3 linked regions of the Pelodiscus sinensis genome follow. The protein of the gene in region 1 interacts with the protein of each later gene in a biochemical or structural test. Links are inferred from orthologs where the notes say so. Each region holds a gene or a part of one and is shown in the gene's direction. Other genes may lie near its edges. The genes, in order: ESR1, TBP and AHR.

Region 1 (5,308 bases):
GCCCTTGTCCTGTCATCGTAGCATAGCAGACATCCCTGGCAGCTTGATCACCCTCCCCTACACATTCTTGCTTTGTGTATCCCTCAGGGTCCCTCCTCCCTTCAGTAATATAAATGGCTGAAATATAAAACAAAAAAGACACTTGGAAATTTATCAAGTTGAAGCTGCATCAGTCTAAAAAACTCAGCAAGAAACCTGAGTAAATTGTAAAGAAGTTTCCTGATGTGAAAGTTACCTAGGTGATTTGTAGTAATTCATACTACTGTGTCATTGCATTATCTGCCTAAATCTTTTCAAATGAAGTGTCTGGAAAAGCTGCTTTTTTGAATGTTGCAATTAAGCATTAACCTTGAAATCAGACAGTGTTTTATCAAAATAAGTAATCTGCATTTAGCTGTTAGGAATCAGTACAGTTTGTTAGTTTGGGATCTTTTGCACTTTATCTTTATTTATAACTTGCAGATTTATGGCACATGTTTTAGTAATTTGTAGTTTTGTAACCATAAGTTTTACTTATGAAAGAATGTGAAAACTGGACTGCTCTGCTGCATATGTTGTATAGTGCAGTCAATTACCTCAAGAAAATACTTATTTTTCTTATGACTTCCTTTTTCGATACCAGAAATATGACTGAGTTAATAAAACCTTAGACAGAGAATGAAAACAGCTAGAATAGTAGAAGCTTTTTTGGTGCTTAAATTAACCAGATCCTATTTTTAAAAAGATCTTGGTAATTTTTTAAAAATTGTTAATGCGATCACTAGTTGCAATTATACACTGATGTGAGCTGAAATTTATAGTAGAAAACTGTTTCCCCCATGGGTTGAAAAGAAGAGTGATATTGGGAATATCAAAGTCATAGTCTAAGGGTAATCTGGCCTACTGGAGATCACCTTTTCAAACCAATGGACAATACAGTAAAACTCCATTGGTCCGGCATCTGATGGTCTGGCACTCCTGATGGTCCGGCACCATCAGGAACCCGGAAGTGCTCCAGGCAGCCGGACCATTGGAGCTGCTCTGCCCCTGGCTTCCCTGATTCAGCCGCTACTGAAGCTGACCAGCGGCTGAATCAGGGAAGCCGGGGGCAGAGCAGCTGGAGTGCTGCCAGTAGGTCCTGTAGTGCTGCCCCTCAGCGCTGCGGGACCAACCCAGCAGCACGCCAGCTATCCCCGATTCAGCTGCTGCTGAAACTGACCAGCGGCTGACTCCAGGAAGCCAGGGGCAGAGCAGCTCTGCCTCGGGCTTCCCGGAGTCAGTCGCTTGTTAGTTTCAGCGACGGCTGACTTGGGGACGCCTAGGGCAGAGCATCTGGGGTGTTGCTGGGTTGGTCCAGTAGCGCCACCCCTTGGTGCTGTGGAACCAACCTGGCAGCACCCCAGCTGCTCAGCCCCAGATGACCCCAAGAGCAACTGAGGTGCTGCCGGGTTGATCTTGCAGCGCCAAGGGGCAGTGCTACCGGACCAACCCGGCAGCACCCTAGCTGCTCTGCTGCAGGTGTCCCAATTCAGCTGCTGCTGAAACTGACCAGCAGCGGCTGAATTGGGGACGCCTGGGGCAGAGCCGGACTATTAGAAGGGGGGGCTATGAGGGGTCTGGGGTGGCATCCCCCCCACCCCACCCTAAACCCCTCATAGCCCCCCCTTCCGATAGTCCGGCATAGCTGATAATCTGGCACCCCCTGGGTCGGACGGATTATCGGAAGTTTACTGTACTTTCCCTAGAAATTAAACACTCCAGTCTGAAATATGTGTGCTATATAATTTAACATGTATTTTGTCTCAGACCTGTTGCTGCTTCAGTTTCCCTCTACCGAAGAGTTTCTATTTTAGTTCAGGGGGGTCATGTGACCTTCTCAGCCAATTACAGCACTCCAGAAGTAATGCCAACAGCCTTCTTGGATAAATGTAAGTGAAAATAGCTCTCAGTTTTTTCAGTTTCTTTCCCTCATGCTCACTTTTACATGTTGTTTTTACTCAAAACATTGCTGCGCACACCTCATGGTGCCCATGGGAATGCTTACAAGTATTATTGTAACTCTTTTTCTAACGTCAATTTTATTTACTGTCTCTTTGTTTTCCGTGTCCAGCAAAAAGCAGCAAAAAACAAGGGAATGCATTCCAAATGTTGTCATTAAGTATGGAATAAGTGTACAGTGAAAATCTCTTATTCAGTATTATTTAGCATTAAATCTGCCATAGCCTAAAAATTACCCTGTGCTCAAGCTCCAGACATAGTCACATGAGTCTTTCAGCCAAAACTGATCAGCTAGGAGAACAGTTATAAATGAAATTATTAGCTCTCTTGAGCCTGTCTCAACCAGTTGCATTAAACTGAATAATTAAAAGGTTCAATAAATTCATTTCAAAGACACAATACTGTAGATATCTATAAAGAGAAGGAATACAGCATCTTTCGTGGGTGATGAATTTATTACTTTCATGAATCACAAAGGCTACATTGTACCCTTTAATGAATGTAAATATTACATTTTGATCCTAATAGATGCTGAAATCTATTTACAGGATATGATATTTAAATAGTAAATATAACAATATTTTTCTCTTTCTTTTCAATTATGGGTACATTCTTTAACCCGTTCTCAAACAGAGGGTCTTTATCTGAGTACCAGCTTTTCCTTTAATAGGATTTCTGGCACAAAATTAACAGCTTAATAAGCAAAGACTATCTCTTAATTATTTTGAGCCTTCTTTTCACATTGTGAACTTTTTTTTCTGAGATGATACATATTTGTTTTCCCGCATGGCACATATGTATATAGCATTTTGCTGTGACTACTTTATTATTTCAACACACTTTTTGAAGTTTACAGATAATCTTTGAAGGACTATTTTCATTTTGAAAATTAGTTTCAGGTTTTGCATAGAATTTGAAGGTAAACTTGGTAGTGAGAGCCTGATCCAACACCCACTGAAGTTAACTGGCATCTTTTTATTGACTTCAGTGGGCTTTATATCAGGCCCCATCCCATGTTGCAGCCCTTTTAGGTAAAAGGCCTCCATGAGAGCTTCTGTTACTTTATTTATGTATTTATTTTTGCATAGCTGTGATATATACTTAATCATAAGGCATCTCTCAAGTAAATGTAATGAACCAGTTTCACAGAAGAAAAGAGATAAGAAGCATGAACATATCTCTTAGTATTTTTTCTATACTGTACTGCAGAAAACGTGTCTCTGTACATTTTAGTTCTGTTTAACTGGCTGTTTGTCTCATAATTTTTGGATTTTTTTTTCTTTTTTAAGATGAAAATTCTCAGACTTAATATGAATAGAATTTTCTCATTGTTTAAATTTAAATGAAAAGAGGTTGTTTTATATGGTGTTTTATTAAGATCCAAAACAATAAACCCAAAATTTTATAAATCTAAATGGAAACATCAAGATAGTAAAGAAAAAGGGATCAACTAGAGTTCTTGTCAAAAGCTACAAAGCAGACATCATACACAAATGGAAGGTTTTAGAATAAGGAAAAAAATAGGTGAGGAACATTGCCTTTTTAATCCAGCCCTTCATTTCAATATATGTGATGAAAGATAGCAATGTATTCAGATATCTGTTCTATTTAAATATTCCACTCTGTGGTGTTGAGAACCCAAATACAACAGCCACGTGCTAGTGCATGATATTCAGAAATGAAAACAAAATCAAAACAGACTATTTGAGTGAACATCAGGAAGCAAAGTTACTAATATTTTGAGTGCGAAGTCAGGAACAATTGTAATTTATTGTAACACCTTTGTGTCAAAGTTGAACAGGCTGGGAAGGGGAATGTATTCAGTTTTTGCCATTTAAGCAACTATGTCTGTTCATAAAATTTTAAAATATATTTCTAATTGTATTTAACCAAATCAAACTGTTCCTTCAAGATCCTGAGCAATTCCTCCCTGGTGTTCAGTGCCCTTAACTCCCACTGACTTCCATAGGAACTGAGGATGATCTGCATTTTGTAGGACAGGGCTACTCAACACGCAGCCTGCAGGCCACATGCGGCCTGAAGCCCATTTGTTTGTGCTGTCTGGCACAGTTTGGGTTTACGTGGGGCTCAATACGTGGCCAATGGATGGGAGCCAAAACAAAAAAGTAGTCAATATAATGGTCTTCTGTTGATATGTGTTTTAGCAGTTAAATTCCTGGACTGTCATTGCTCATTAAAAGTGCTGTCATATGGGTGGAAATCAGGTAAATATTGCATTTTATTAATATCAGCAGAACTGACTCAAATGGGGCCTGTGCATTGTGTAGTATTACCTTAATCTTTGTATTCATGCTCATCAGTGTGAAAGGAGCTATTTGCATATATTTGCATATATATTTGCATGTATATACAGCCACACTTAAGTTGTGGCCCTCAGCATGTGGCCCCCGGGGCTTCCAAAGTTGAGTAGCCCTGTTCTAGGAGGTGTCAGCTCTTACCATAGCAGGGGCCTAACATTAACATGCCCAGAATAGCGAGACAAGTCCCATTAGCAGCTATACAATATTATGGCTCTACTTATTCAGCCCAGTGGAATCTCAGCACTTTCTTGCCTGCCCCCAAATTAAAAGAAATATGGCAATTTCCCCATGAAACAGCAATATAATGCAGTATACAAATCACAAATAAAAGGTAAGTAATTGGAGGATCTGTTATCATTTATGTCTTGCTTCCTTGTTTTCTGCTATTTTAATTTCTTTGCTACTTATCCATTCTCCTCCACTGTTACTTAAAATTTCATTAGAAAACAAACAGACAAAAAAAAAAAATTGCAGCTGTGAGATTAGACCATACCATAAATTCAGTGGGAGTAGGATCAGGTGACGTGTGCATGAACTCTAAAATATTTTCCTTTCCCTCATGTTCTGTCCTCTGTTCTTGGTTTCACCTCACTTAAACTTGAAAAATGCCACTCATGTGGAATGAACATCACAGGTATCTATGCTGATACTGTCTCACTCCAGCCAGCCGAGATGTCACTCATAAGCAGTGCAGCAGATAATGAGCAAAGTGTTCCTTCAGCTCCTCCTCCTGGCTACTAGAGAGTACTTCTGGGCTTCTGCTGAGGCAACCAGTTTCTCTTGCCTATCCCTTCCCATTGCTACTGAGTCCCTCAGCCCTGCTGTGCCACCCAGGGCTGCGAACAGAGGCAGCTCATAGAAAGGAATAGGTGTCCAGCTGTCTCTGAACAGTAACATGCACCATTCTCAGAAGACAGTCAAGATGGTGGGGAGAGGAAAGAGACGGGGGACCAGAGAGAATATAAAGATATACAGGGGGAGAAAGGATTGTGGTTGAGATTGGTCCTTTA
Region 2 (5,308 bases), about 14 Mb from region 1:
AAATTGACAAAACATTTTACTCATTGTTAAGCATTATTAACTTTAACAACCTAAAGTGAAAATTTTCTCTCTTAACACAAGACTACATCAATGATGGGCAGCCATCATATTTCAGCAGACAGATGGTACCAAGATAACTCACCTCTGGACATTACCAAGAATTTACTGATATGCTAAGGAGTTAGCCAGGAGAAACATGAACTCTCATGAACTGTCAGACAAGAGAGGATTTGCATCTGGAGTGTGACAGAGGCACGTGCCTCCTTTAAATGCATGTAATGATAAAGTTTAAGGGGAAAAATTATCCAGGTGGACTGAAGGAAGTACAGGAATAATATGGAAGAAGATTGATAGAGGAACTGCTGACAAGTTTACTGCTGATCTCTGAGAGGAAGCTCTGAAGTGCCACATGGTCTATTGAAATAATAGACCATTAATGTATTTGCTATACAGTCAAAGGTATCACAGTGGCTCCAACTACTCAGTGTCAGGAATAGGCAAAGCTAGTCATGACAACTCATGAGTGCTGCTACAATTAGGAAACCAAAAACTTCAGGTGTCAGTGAAATTCAAGCAACAAAACACAAACTAAGAAACTTGATCTCATTAACAGCATCACAACAGAAGCCAAAACAAACCCTTACAAATGCACTTCCTATCTTACTGGAATGTTTTTCTAGGGCAACAAATGAAAATGCTAGTCATTCAATCTTCCAAGGATGCCATACAATAAGATTAAAACTTACAGTTTATAGCATTTTGGACTGTCCCTGCTGTGAATTGCGTAACCTTCACTCAGTCGTGTGTCTGAGGCAACAATAGAAAAATCTTCTCCAGCAATCGCCAGCACAGTGCTTAAAGAAAATGAGGACTAATTTATAATCATTATATAATCAAGATTTCTAGACCTAAAAAAAACATCTTCACCCTAGCAGCTTCATGTCTATATATTAGGGATGTAAAGGCATAATCATGTAAACGGTTAACAGTTAACCAGTGACTCTGGGCTAATCTGTTACTGTTCCGTTACACACAGGTTTCTGCCCGCTCTTTGGGAGGCAGCTGCCACTCTCCATCAGAGGCAGAAGCACAGGGGTGGCAGCCAGCTCACCAAAAGCTGGGCTGCAGGTGGGAACTGGCACATGCTGGGAACCGTCTTAGAAAGCCAGCTTTTGGCTGTTGTATCATACTGTAGTTGCATGTAACTGCTGAGATTTTCAGTGGTTACACTGTTACCCAATTACCCTCATTTTAACATCCCTAGTCTGTGGTGGTGGACAAGCTTTGAATATTCTGAGGCAGCAGGAGTGGGGGGGGGGGGGAAGCACTAGCTGCCACAGGAGGGGACCTGATTTGAAGGTAGGCCCCTTTAGCACTGGCTCTGCAGTGCCACCTTCCTCTTACCGTGTTGTCTCAGCTGCCAAGGACAGAGGCTGCTTCATAGCAGCTCTCCCCATCCCCACAACAGCCTGTTTGCAGGGAACTTGGACCCCAACAGACAGGGGCTGCTTCTACCCCACACTGCTGCCTCTGTCGATCAGTCACAGTGGCAGGCAGCTCCCGGAGCTGTTTTTTTAACTGGCTCCCACCTGCCACCCAGCACTGCTGCCTCTGAGACAGAGGCAGCAGCATCATGAGGTGGCAGGGGGCTTCCTGGGGAGTGGGGCTGCAGCAAAGATTTCATGTGGTTACACAACTGCTCCCCCACGTCTAACATCCCTTTGCTCTGCAGGGCGCCGTTAGAAAAGCGGTTTCCAAAGCTGCTTTTCTTAACAGCAGCCTTTCCACGGACACGCAACAGGCGCTGCGGGGGCGTCCCAGGCTGGCGTCGTGCGGGGCCCAGAGCTTGGGGCAGGGGCGCGGCCGCTTGGGCCGAACGCAAAGCGACGCGCTGCCCCGAGCCCCCGTTACAGGAGGGTCCTTTCATCCCGCCTCCCGAGGCAAAGCCGCTCCGGAAGCGCAGGGGGCGGGGAAGCCCCGGGGTGTCTGTGCGCTCCCCTGCGGGGTCCGGGGGCGGGGGAAGAGAAAGCGAAAGCGGCGGGGCTGAGGGCCCCGGGGCGGGCCCGGCTCGTTACCCGCCGTTGAAGGTGTAGGGGGAGAACCGGTGCTGCGCGGGGCCGCCGAGCTGCTGCCCCATCCCGGGCCGAGGCTCCGCGTAGCCGGCTGTGGACAACATCCTGGCGCGCGCGCTTGGGAGCCGGCGGGCGGCTGCTGTCTCACGGCAAAATGGCGGCGCCGGAACCGGAACTTCTCCCTTCGCCAGCAGCGTCCGCTCTAGCCTCACCTTGGCCCGATCTCGTCTGCCCCGCGCTCGGCTTGGCCCGGCGCCGGATGCGCCCCCCGCAGGCGGGAGGAGTGAACGTTTGTGTGGGAGTAAAAGCCAAGAGGAAGCAGGGGGTTTAGCAGGGAGCTGGAAGGGATCGTGCGACCAAGGCTTTCAAGACAGTTACACGAAATCATGGCCAGTTGTCGGATTAGAGAAAGAAACAGCCACCCAAAGCAGCATCAACTGGATTAATTTACACTCCCGATGAAACCTGCATTTACATGATTTTTAAACTGAAAACAAAAGTAATCTGGAGTGTTGAGTTGCTACAGAAAGGCACTAGTCCTGGAAAACTGGTCAGCACATGCAGCAACTGGAGCCTGCTTGCAGTGCAGATCATTTTTAAAAGAAGCATAAAAGCAGAGGCCGCCATCCTGCAGGCTGCCTTGCTGGAGGGCTAGTGCGGAGCAGCGTGTGGCATCGAGGACAGAGTTTTATCATTTTCTCCTCCTTTAAAGCAGGTACAATAGCACGGAGGCTGCCTTTTGAACCGCCCAGAAACTAAATCTGCATAAATCGAGATTGTGTGACTTCCCCTCATTACTTTGGCTCCCCTCTGTCCAGCTTTTCACTGGATCGTGGCTGCCCCAAGCAATCTGTAGGCTGGGTGCTCAGGACACACTGCTAGGCAGCTGTCCGGTTTCACAGGCTACAGATCATCCCGCATTGCCCCCTATTTTGTTCCTCAGAGGTGGCAACTCTGTCCAGGCCTGGCTCTCTAGGGCAGTGGAAGTTGGTGACGAAAAGCAGGCATGGGGTGGGGGCAGGGATTGCAATCGCTGCGGGCTGCGCTGCATCCCGGGGCTGTGGGAATCTGCAGCGGATGGTTTTCGCGTTGTTGAGTTTTATTTGTGGGCACTGGGTTCAATCTACAACCCCAGTGGCGCCCGCGCCCGTGACACACTGATCGGCGCTTTCCTTGGGCTTGGCTTCTCCGTCCCGCCCCACGCTTCTTGGCTTTGCCCTCACTCAAAATGGCCACTGCGGAAAAGGGAGAGCGGGAGTTCCTGGCGGAAGTGACGCGTTATGCGCGCGCCGGAGGAGGAGAGGCCGGGCTGCAGGTGGGGTCGCCGCCACCGCCGGGTCTGTGCGGCGCCTGGAGGGAACTGGAGCGGCAGGTACCGAGCCGCTCAACCGGGCGGAGCCTCCGGGCCGCGAGGCAGCGGCGGGGCCCGGCCCGGGGGCGGCTCCAGCGAGCGGGGTCCTGGCGCCGCTCCCGGGGCTGCGGGCGCGTCTCCCTCCCCGTCCCGGGCAGGCTCCGGCAGCCGCCGCCTGGCGCTCGCCGTCCCGGGCCTGCCCCTTCGCCCGGCTGCTCCCGCCTGCGGGCCCCGCGCGGGCAGCGCACCCGGCTCCCGCCCTGCCCCGCGGCCGCGTCTCCTCCAACGGCCTCGCCTAGTGCGGAGCGGCCCGGGACCAGGCTCGGCCCCTTCCCGCTGCCCCGGGAGCCTGCCCGGCCGCGCCGCGCGGAGCCGAGCTCTCATGGCCCCCGGCACAAGCGCGTTCCCCGAGCGGAGCGCGACGTGTCTGGGGCTTGTCGGAGAAGCGCTGCCCCGTATAAACCCCTTCTACGGCAAAGAGAAGCGGCAGCGCTTTCTCTGCGTTTCTCTGGGGCTCAGGCCTTCTTGAGCCTTTCGGTTTGCGTAGCGGAGTTGGAGAGAGGCTGGGGGGCCTTGAAGGGCTCAGGGTAGCTGGGGAAGCTGATCACCGTAGTGTTCCGGCCACCGCCGGTCTGATTTGCACCGTGACGCTGACTCTCTTGGTGTGATGTTGGGCAAGTCACTAAACTGCCTTGTCTCCTCCCCCATCTGCAAAATGGGAGCAGTGCAGTGTTGGAAAATTAGGGTCACCAAATAGCATAGCTTGAAGAAATGAGTGATTTGTTAGCTAAATAATATATCCTGGGGTGTTTATATGATCGTCCTCATATTGAAAAGGCAGACAAATTGAGTCTTGTTACGGTTTTGCAAGTTTGGGGTAACATAAGTATGTTTGTTGTTAGGTGGTTGTTATAAAGGTTAGTGTTAAGTGCTTTGAAAATTAAAAGTGCTATGCAATTACTAAGTTTATTACATAGCCAAACCTCCCATTGAAGTTAGTGGGATATTCTTTCTATAGAAGTACTGTATTGGTTCAGGCTCTCAACAAATACATATGTTCCATTCATGTTTAAATTGCTCCTCTTGTTATAGTTTCATATACATTATTAGTAATCATGCATAGTAGTATTGGGGGAAGCTTAGTGATGCTGAAGCCAGGATGTCCTCAGAAATCCCTTGCTTGTGGAATTTGTTCCTTGCACAAAAGTAGCTAAAATCAAAACAGACCATACTTACACTGTGTGGCAAGATTTTTATCTAGTCTTTCTACTTATGCAGACCCAGGAATCCTTGGTATTTAGACTACACTTCTGAAAATGTTCTGTCATTTTAAAGTTGCAGTGCTATGGGAGGCATGTTTATCTGTTGGGGGGAGGGTAGTGTTGTATTTGGTCCTTTTCACTTGGATAATTCTCCCTGCCAAAACACATAGTGTTGGATACTTTATGGATGGTAGCTTTATGAATAAGTGTAGTGGTAATATATTTTGTGATCACATAAAAGATCACCTATTCTTAGCTTCAGTGTTGTTACTAGGTATGTTAAAGACTAGTCGACTATCCAATAAGAAAACGACTAAATGATTCCCCCCCACACTTTCTTCCTCTATCAGATAGAGGCAACAAAGGGGGTGAGAGTGGACGGTACTTCAAAGCAGCTACACCGCACAGCTGAACCCGGGATTAGCTGTGCAGCCCTGCTGCTTGGGGCTGCCCCTTTGACTGCTGCAAAGGGACAGCTACACAGCAGATCCTCAGCTCAGCTGTGCTGCGCTGCTGCGTGTGGAGCCTGGAGTCAACTGGGGACTACAGCACTGCATTTCCCCAGAACCCAGGATCAGCTGGGTAGTACCCAGCTTCCCCCGGAACCCTGGGTCATGCTGCAC
Region 3 (5,308 bases), on another chromosome or scaffold:
ACTGCAAGTAAGCAGGGTTTTTATTTTAGCACAGACTTGTATATAATTTGCTTTTTAGTTAGAGACTGCTGCCACTGGCTGAGTTTTGACAAACTGTATTATTACTTGGGGGAAAAGAACCTTGCTGATCTGAATTACTTTAATCAATTACTTTAGTCAATCCTATGCATTGCTGCACACTGAGCTACCCCTATTTGTCATCCTTGCCTATCAATTGGCCTTCTCTTCAAATGAATATGTAGAAGGGAGAAGAAAAAATAGGCAGTTAGAACTGTTAATTGCTTGAGTTTATTGTGATTAAGTCAAGAGAAATAACTTGATTTTAAAAAAAATATAGCAATTAGTCACCATTTTCATCACATTGTTAAACAAGAATACCAGCTGGAATATATTATAAATATCTGATGCCTTTCTATACTTTCAAACATTCATTTCAATTACAACACAATACAAAGTGAATAGTGCTCACTTTATATTATTTTGTATTTAAGATATTTGCCCTGTAAAAAGATAAAGAAATAGTATTTTTCAATTCACTTCATACAACTACTATAGTGCAGTTCCTTCATCATGAAAGTGGTTTGCAAATGTAGAATTTTCTAGTTACATAACTACACTCAAAAACAAAACAAGGTCAATCTTAAAAAACGTACAAGTCCACTCAGTCAGTCCTAACTTCTTGTTAGCAATTGGCTAAGACAAAGTTTCACATTTATGGGGGATAATGCTGCCTGCTTATTTACAATGCCACCTGAAAGTGAGAACAGAGATTCTTTGAAGGCAATGTTGCAAGGTAAATTTACATGCCAGACTTGCTAAATATTTATATGCCTCTTCATACTTCAGCCACCCTATCAGATGACATGTTAATATTTTATTTTAGAGTGCAGTTATGTAAAACAATAGTGCAATTTAGTGGAATTAATGGAATAGTGGAATTATTTTTGCAATAAAGACACTGCACTACAGTACTTGTATGAGATGAACTGAAAAATACAATTATCTTTTTACAGTGCAAATAAAAATATAGAATGAGCACTGTACATTATGCAATTGAAATCTCTGCAAATGTAAACATAAATAAACACCAGTAGAATACATGGATCATGTAACAGTATGACAAACCGCCAATAATTATTTCTTTTAAATCTCACACTTAACCATGACAGGATTTCATTGTTTCACAGCCCTTAACGAAAGGGCACAATTGTGCCTGAACAGCAAGACGGAGGAGCGCTTTAGCAGCCCGTATCGCTTGCAATAATTTTGTTTTTCCTTTAAAAATGTAAAGCCACAACGGCTGATTGCGCCTCTGACACCCCGAACGAAACAGGGGAAATCATGGGCTGAGGGGAGAGCACGAGCCACCCTCCTTCCCCCGCACCGCAGGACTCAGAGCAGGCCCAGGCCCCACCAGCACCCCGCTCCTGCCTCCCTGCGGCGGCTGCTCACGCTGCTGTGGAGCTACGGGCGGTGCCCGGACGCGAGCAGCGCCGGGGCCTGTCGGAAGGTCCGGGGCCGGGTCATTGTCCTTGCTGGCGGCGCTAGCGAGGCGGCGTCCAGCTGCGTGCGGGGCGGGCTGTTCCTAGCGGGAGGCGGCTCTCGGGGCATGTCCGCGGGCCTGACCTTCCCAACATGGCGGCGCAGGCGGCTCCCTCACGTAGGCCGCCGCCGGAGCCTCCCCCCGCGGGGCGTGGAGAGCAGGGGCCGGGCTGCTGGGTGGCTGGCTCTGCGACCGCGGCGGCAGCGGCCGGGGGCGGCGGACTGTGGCAGACGTTTGCCTGGCCCGCGGCGGCCGCACCGGGGCAGAAGCATCGTCGCACCCTGCAGCGGCAGCCTCGGGGCGCGCTGCTGGCTCGGCCTCCATCTGCCCCGCCAGGAGAAGCCGCCGCTGCCGGGCAGGGGGATCTGGAAAGCCCCGGCCGCCCCCGCACCTGTCCCCGGGGCCGCAGCGGGTTGGTGGGTGTCGCCGGCGCTGATCACCTGGGCTCCCGCCTTCCTTCGGCCGAGCGGAGCCGCGCTCGGCGCGCTGCAGACGGGCAGGGCAGGGCCGGGCGGCTGCGGGCTGCGGCGCCGAGCGGGTTCGCCGGGGACTCGCGGCTGCGGTGCGGGGAGCCGCGGCGGCAGGATGAACCCCAATGTCACCTACGCCAGTCGCAAGCGGCGGAAGCCGGTGCAGAAAATGTAAGAGACGAGCTTGGGCGGAGCAGGGGCGGCGGGGGGAAGCTCCTGGCCCTAGCGGGGCTGTCAGTGGCTCACCCAAACCGGCCCCTGGCTGCGCCCCCCGCAGCGGCTCCCCGCTCCCCCAGCGCCGTGTGGGAGTCTGCAGCCCGCTGCGCTTGGGCCTCGGGAGCTGGGGGATTGCAGCACCGCAGGCAGGGGTTACCCGGGGGCCGTTTGCTGCAGTGCCTGGTGCGCTTTTGCGGGGCTTTTTTCCCCTCTCGGCGGCTTTGGGGCCCCCTTGCCACAACGCTGGGCGTAGGCGTGACTAGTCGTGGGGCTCCGGGAGGTCCCCTTTTCAGCCTCCTCCCCCAACAGGGAAGTCTGTAGCTAGTTACGTTCAGAGTCCTGTTGTGAACAGGCACCGATGACCCAGTTGTGTAAGGATGGTGATTAAAAGGGAGAATGAGGACTTGGGTGCGGGGGAGGGGAGGAAGGAAGGAAGAAGAAATGACTTTAGGTTCAATGTGGCTGGGTTACCTGACCTAGACTAGGAAGCATTTAAGGTGGCTGTCCCTAGCGATGGCTACCCGAGCTCCCACCAGTTCAACTAGTTGTGAAAACGTAATTAAACGACACATGCAGTTTTAAAAAAAAAGTCCTGTTGGTCACAGTGATGGAGCAATTTCTTGTTTTGCTTAGCTGCGCTGCGGCGAGTGTATGTGTAGTTGTGTTGGGTGCACGGCTGCCCCTTCTCGTCCCCACTTGGATATGTGTGTAGGTTACAAGTCACTGCTGCAGTGTATTTGTCTGGTACTTTCTGGTGTCCTTTCTGGTGATCTGAGAAAGTGGGTCTGGCCCACGAAAGCTCATCATCTAATAAACCATCTTGTTAGTCTTTAAAGTGTTACATAGTCCTGTATTTTGTCTGGTACTGTGACTTTTAACTAATCACTTACACTCTGTATGAAGTCTTATACTTTAGATCCACTACCTGCCACCCCCTAAAATGTAATATATCTAGAGTGATGGTTTCTGAAAGTGGATGTCTCTGACAAGGTGCTTGGGACATGACAATAGATCATGTGTAATCATGTCATCCTGTTTTGGGAATATTTAAATAGTTTTTTCCTAAAGTTTTTTTATTTTGCCATTATAATTTATATTCATTTAATGCCAAGCAAACATAAAAATCAGAAACTATTGCCGCATCTTAAAAAAAATAAAATTATTATTTGGTTGCCTGAGTAAAGCTAGTTTTATTACACAAGTATAGACAGGATTGGGCCCAAGGCTGTACCTGATTCACTAGCAGATTCCTTTAATCTGAAATTAATTTTAAAGGAAATTGTTAACTTTCACATTTATCTACTACATAAAGATGCATAAATTAACCACAAATTTATGAAGTAATCTACTGAGCTGATGAGGGGGAAAAGACAACTACTTCTAACATACTTGAGTAAGCAAATTCCTTTATATCATTCAGCTCCCTGTTTTGGATCAGTTGAATGCATATTCAACCACAGCAGCTGCTATTGAAATATTTCTATACATGGATATTTTGCTTTAAGTGAAATTCTGTTATGTTTGTGGAGTGAATTAATCAGTGAAAAGCAATGTATATGATGATTTCTACCAAAACTCTGCAGAAGTGTCAGTAAATTACTTAATGTAAATGCGGCTAGTCACTTCCAAGCTAAAATATAGAAGTTATAGAACTGTTAAGCAATATAAATCTATAATTTAGAGAGAAATAGTTGCCCTATTTCAAGATATACAAGTATATAGGAAATACTTACCCTGTTTCAAGATATAGAAGTATATAGGAAATACTTACTTTTCCTACAGTTATGCGCAAGCGCAGTAGCACCTGCCCTACTGCAAATAACTTTCCAGCTCTGTTTACATACTTTCTTGACTAATCCTTTAAAGCACACACAAATCTTGATTTAAGGATCTGTTGTATAGCTATTCGCTCTTTTTGACCAGAGGTCTTAATGCTTTGTTTGCTAATAAATTCTAATCAGATCTGAAAACTGTTTCTACAGTATTTTTATACCTTCATATAAAAATGTCTGATCCTAAAGTTGCTTAGTATTTTATATTCTTTATTCTAATTTGCAACACTTACCATATTTGAATCTGAAGACTCTTTGTTATGTAAATCAACATATGAGTGGAAATTAAATTAAAAAAATTAGTCTTGAGGTGTCTTTGTCATAAAAGAGCTCCCTTTTTTTAGGACTAAAAGGGAAAATAAACCTTTTTAAATATTAAATATTTTTGTTTTTAATCTAGTCATAATTTTGTATTGGCTTATAACGTGTTTAAAAAACAGTTATATGTATTATTTACTATCCAGATGGATTGACAAATAACTTATGTAAGATTATTTTGTTTGTTCAGTCTACCTTTACTTATTTATTTCCCTTTCTTTGTTTAATTTTATACTGCCTTTTTATCTATATTCTGATAGCAGCTGTGGGCAACACTGTATCTGCAGGCCTGAGGGTTCTTATTTGCCCAGTTAAAAACTGATCAAAGTTCATACTCTTGGCCAAAAAAAGGGGGGGGGGGCGGAGACAGTAACAGCAGATTATCAAAGCTGACCTTTAAAAAGGTTATAAAGCTTGTTCATTATTATGAAAAAATCCAACTTGCCTCTGATTCTCCTCAAATTAAGATGCAGGACACTTGTGGGATAACAGCCTTGAAGTCAGCTTTTCTTCCAGGCAAATGTCAAACTTCTTAAAAAATGGTTTTAAATAAGAGCTGATGTACTTATATGTTGTCAGGTAATGTAACTTTTTTTTAACATTTTTTCTTACAAGGAAAAGATTAAATTTTTGTTGAATTATGTGTTTGTGATTTACTTGCCATTTCCAAAACTCCGAGTGGAGGATGACTGATGCATTGTCTGTATGCAGACAACCCGTTTGTGTGTGAACAACTTATTTCTTACTTGTTTCATGATGTAATGTTCACAAGAAAGTTTAAATGGGAAAAAAAATATTTTTTCCGGTGGAAAATTATTGAAAATTGTGGTACTGATTTGTAGCCATTCAAGGGAAAAAAACACTATAATCTACCTTCTATAGGATGGAGCCCCACAGAAAATCTTGAGCTATTACCTAGTCAATATAGA

The links.
Region 2: the proteins of ESR1 (region 1) and TBP form a complex in vitro, tested with the Homo sapiens proteins (2 studies listed by BioGRID). The link is inferred for Pelodiscus sinensis from reciprocal best matches to the Homo sapiens genes ESR1 and TBP.
Region 3: the proteins of ESR1 (region 1) and AHR form a complex in vitro, tested with the Homo sapiens proteins (4 studies listed by BioGRID, with this or other methods). The link is inferred for Pelodiscus sinensis from reciprocal best matches to the Homo sapiens genes ESR1 and AHR.

What each region holds. Positions count from the first base shown.
Region 1 is NC_134713.1:107,791,319-107,796,626, forward strand, and holds the start of ESR1 (estrogen receptor), read left to right. Parts: upstream 1-1,809; 5' UTR 1,810-1,882; coding exon 1,883-1,907; intron 1,908-5,308.
Region 2 is NC_134713.1:122,268,069-122,273,376, forward strand, and holds the start of TBP (TATA-box-binding protein), read left to right. Parts: upstream 1-2,364; 5' UTR 2,365-2,787; intron 2,788-3,292; exon of another isoform or gene 3,293-3,444; intron 3,445-5,308. Other genes in the region: PSMB1 (proteasome subunit beta type-1), read right to left, coding at 747-854, 2,076-2,176. UniProt on the Homo sapiens protein: The TFIID basal transcription factor complex plays a major role in the initiation of RNA polymerase II (Pol II)-dependent transcription.
Region 3 is NC_134712.1:202,993,120-202,998,427, reverse strand, and holds the start of AHR (aryl hydrocarbon receptor), read left to right. Parts: upstream 1-1,718; 5' UTR 1,719-2,128; coding exon 2,129-2,184; intron 2,185-5,308. UniProt on the Homo sapiens protein: Ligand-activated transcription factor that enables cells to adapt to changing conditions by sensing compounds from the environment, diet, microbiome and cellular metabolism, and which plays important roles in development, immunity and cancer.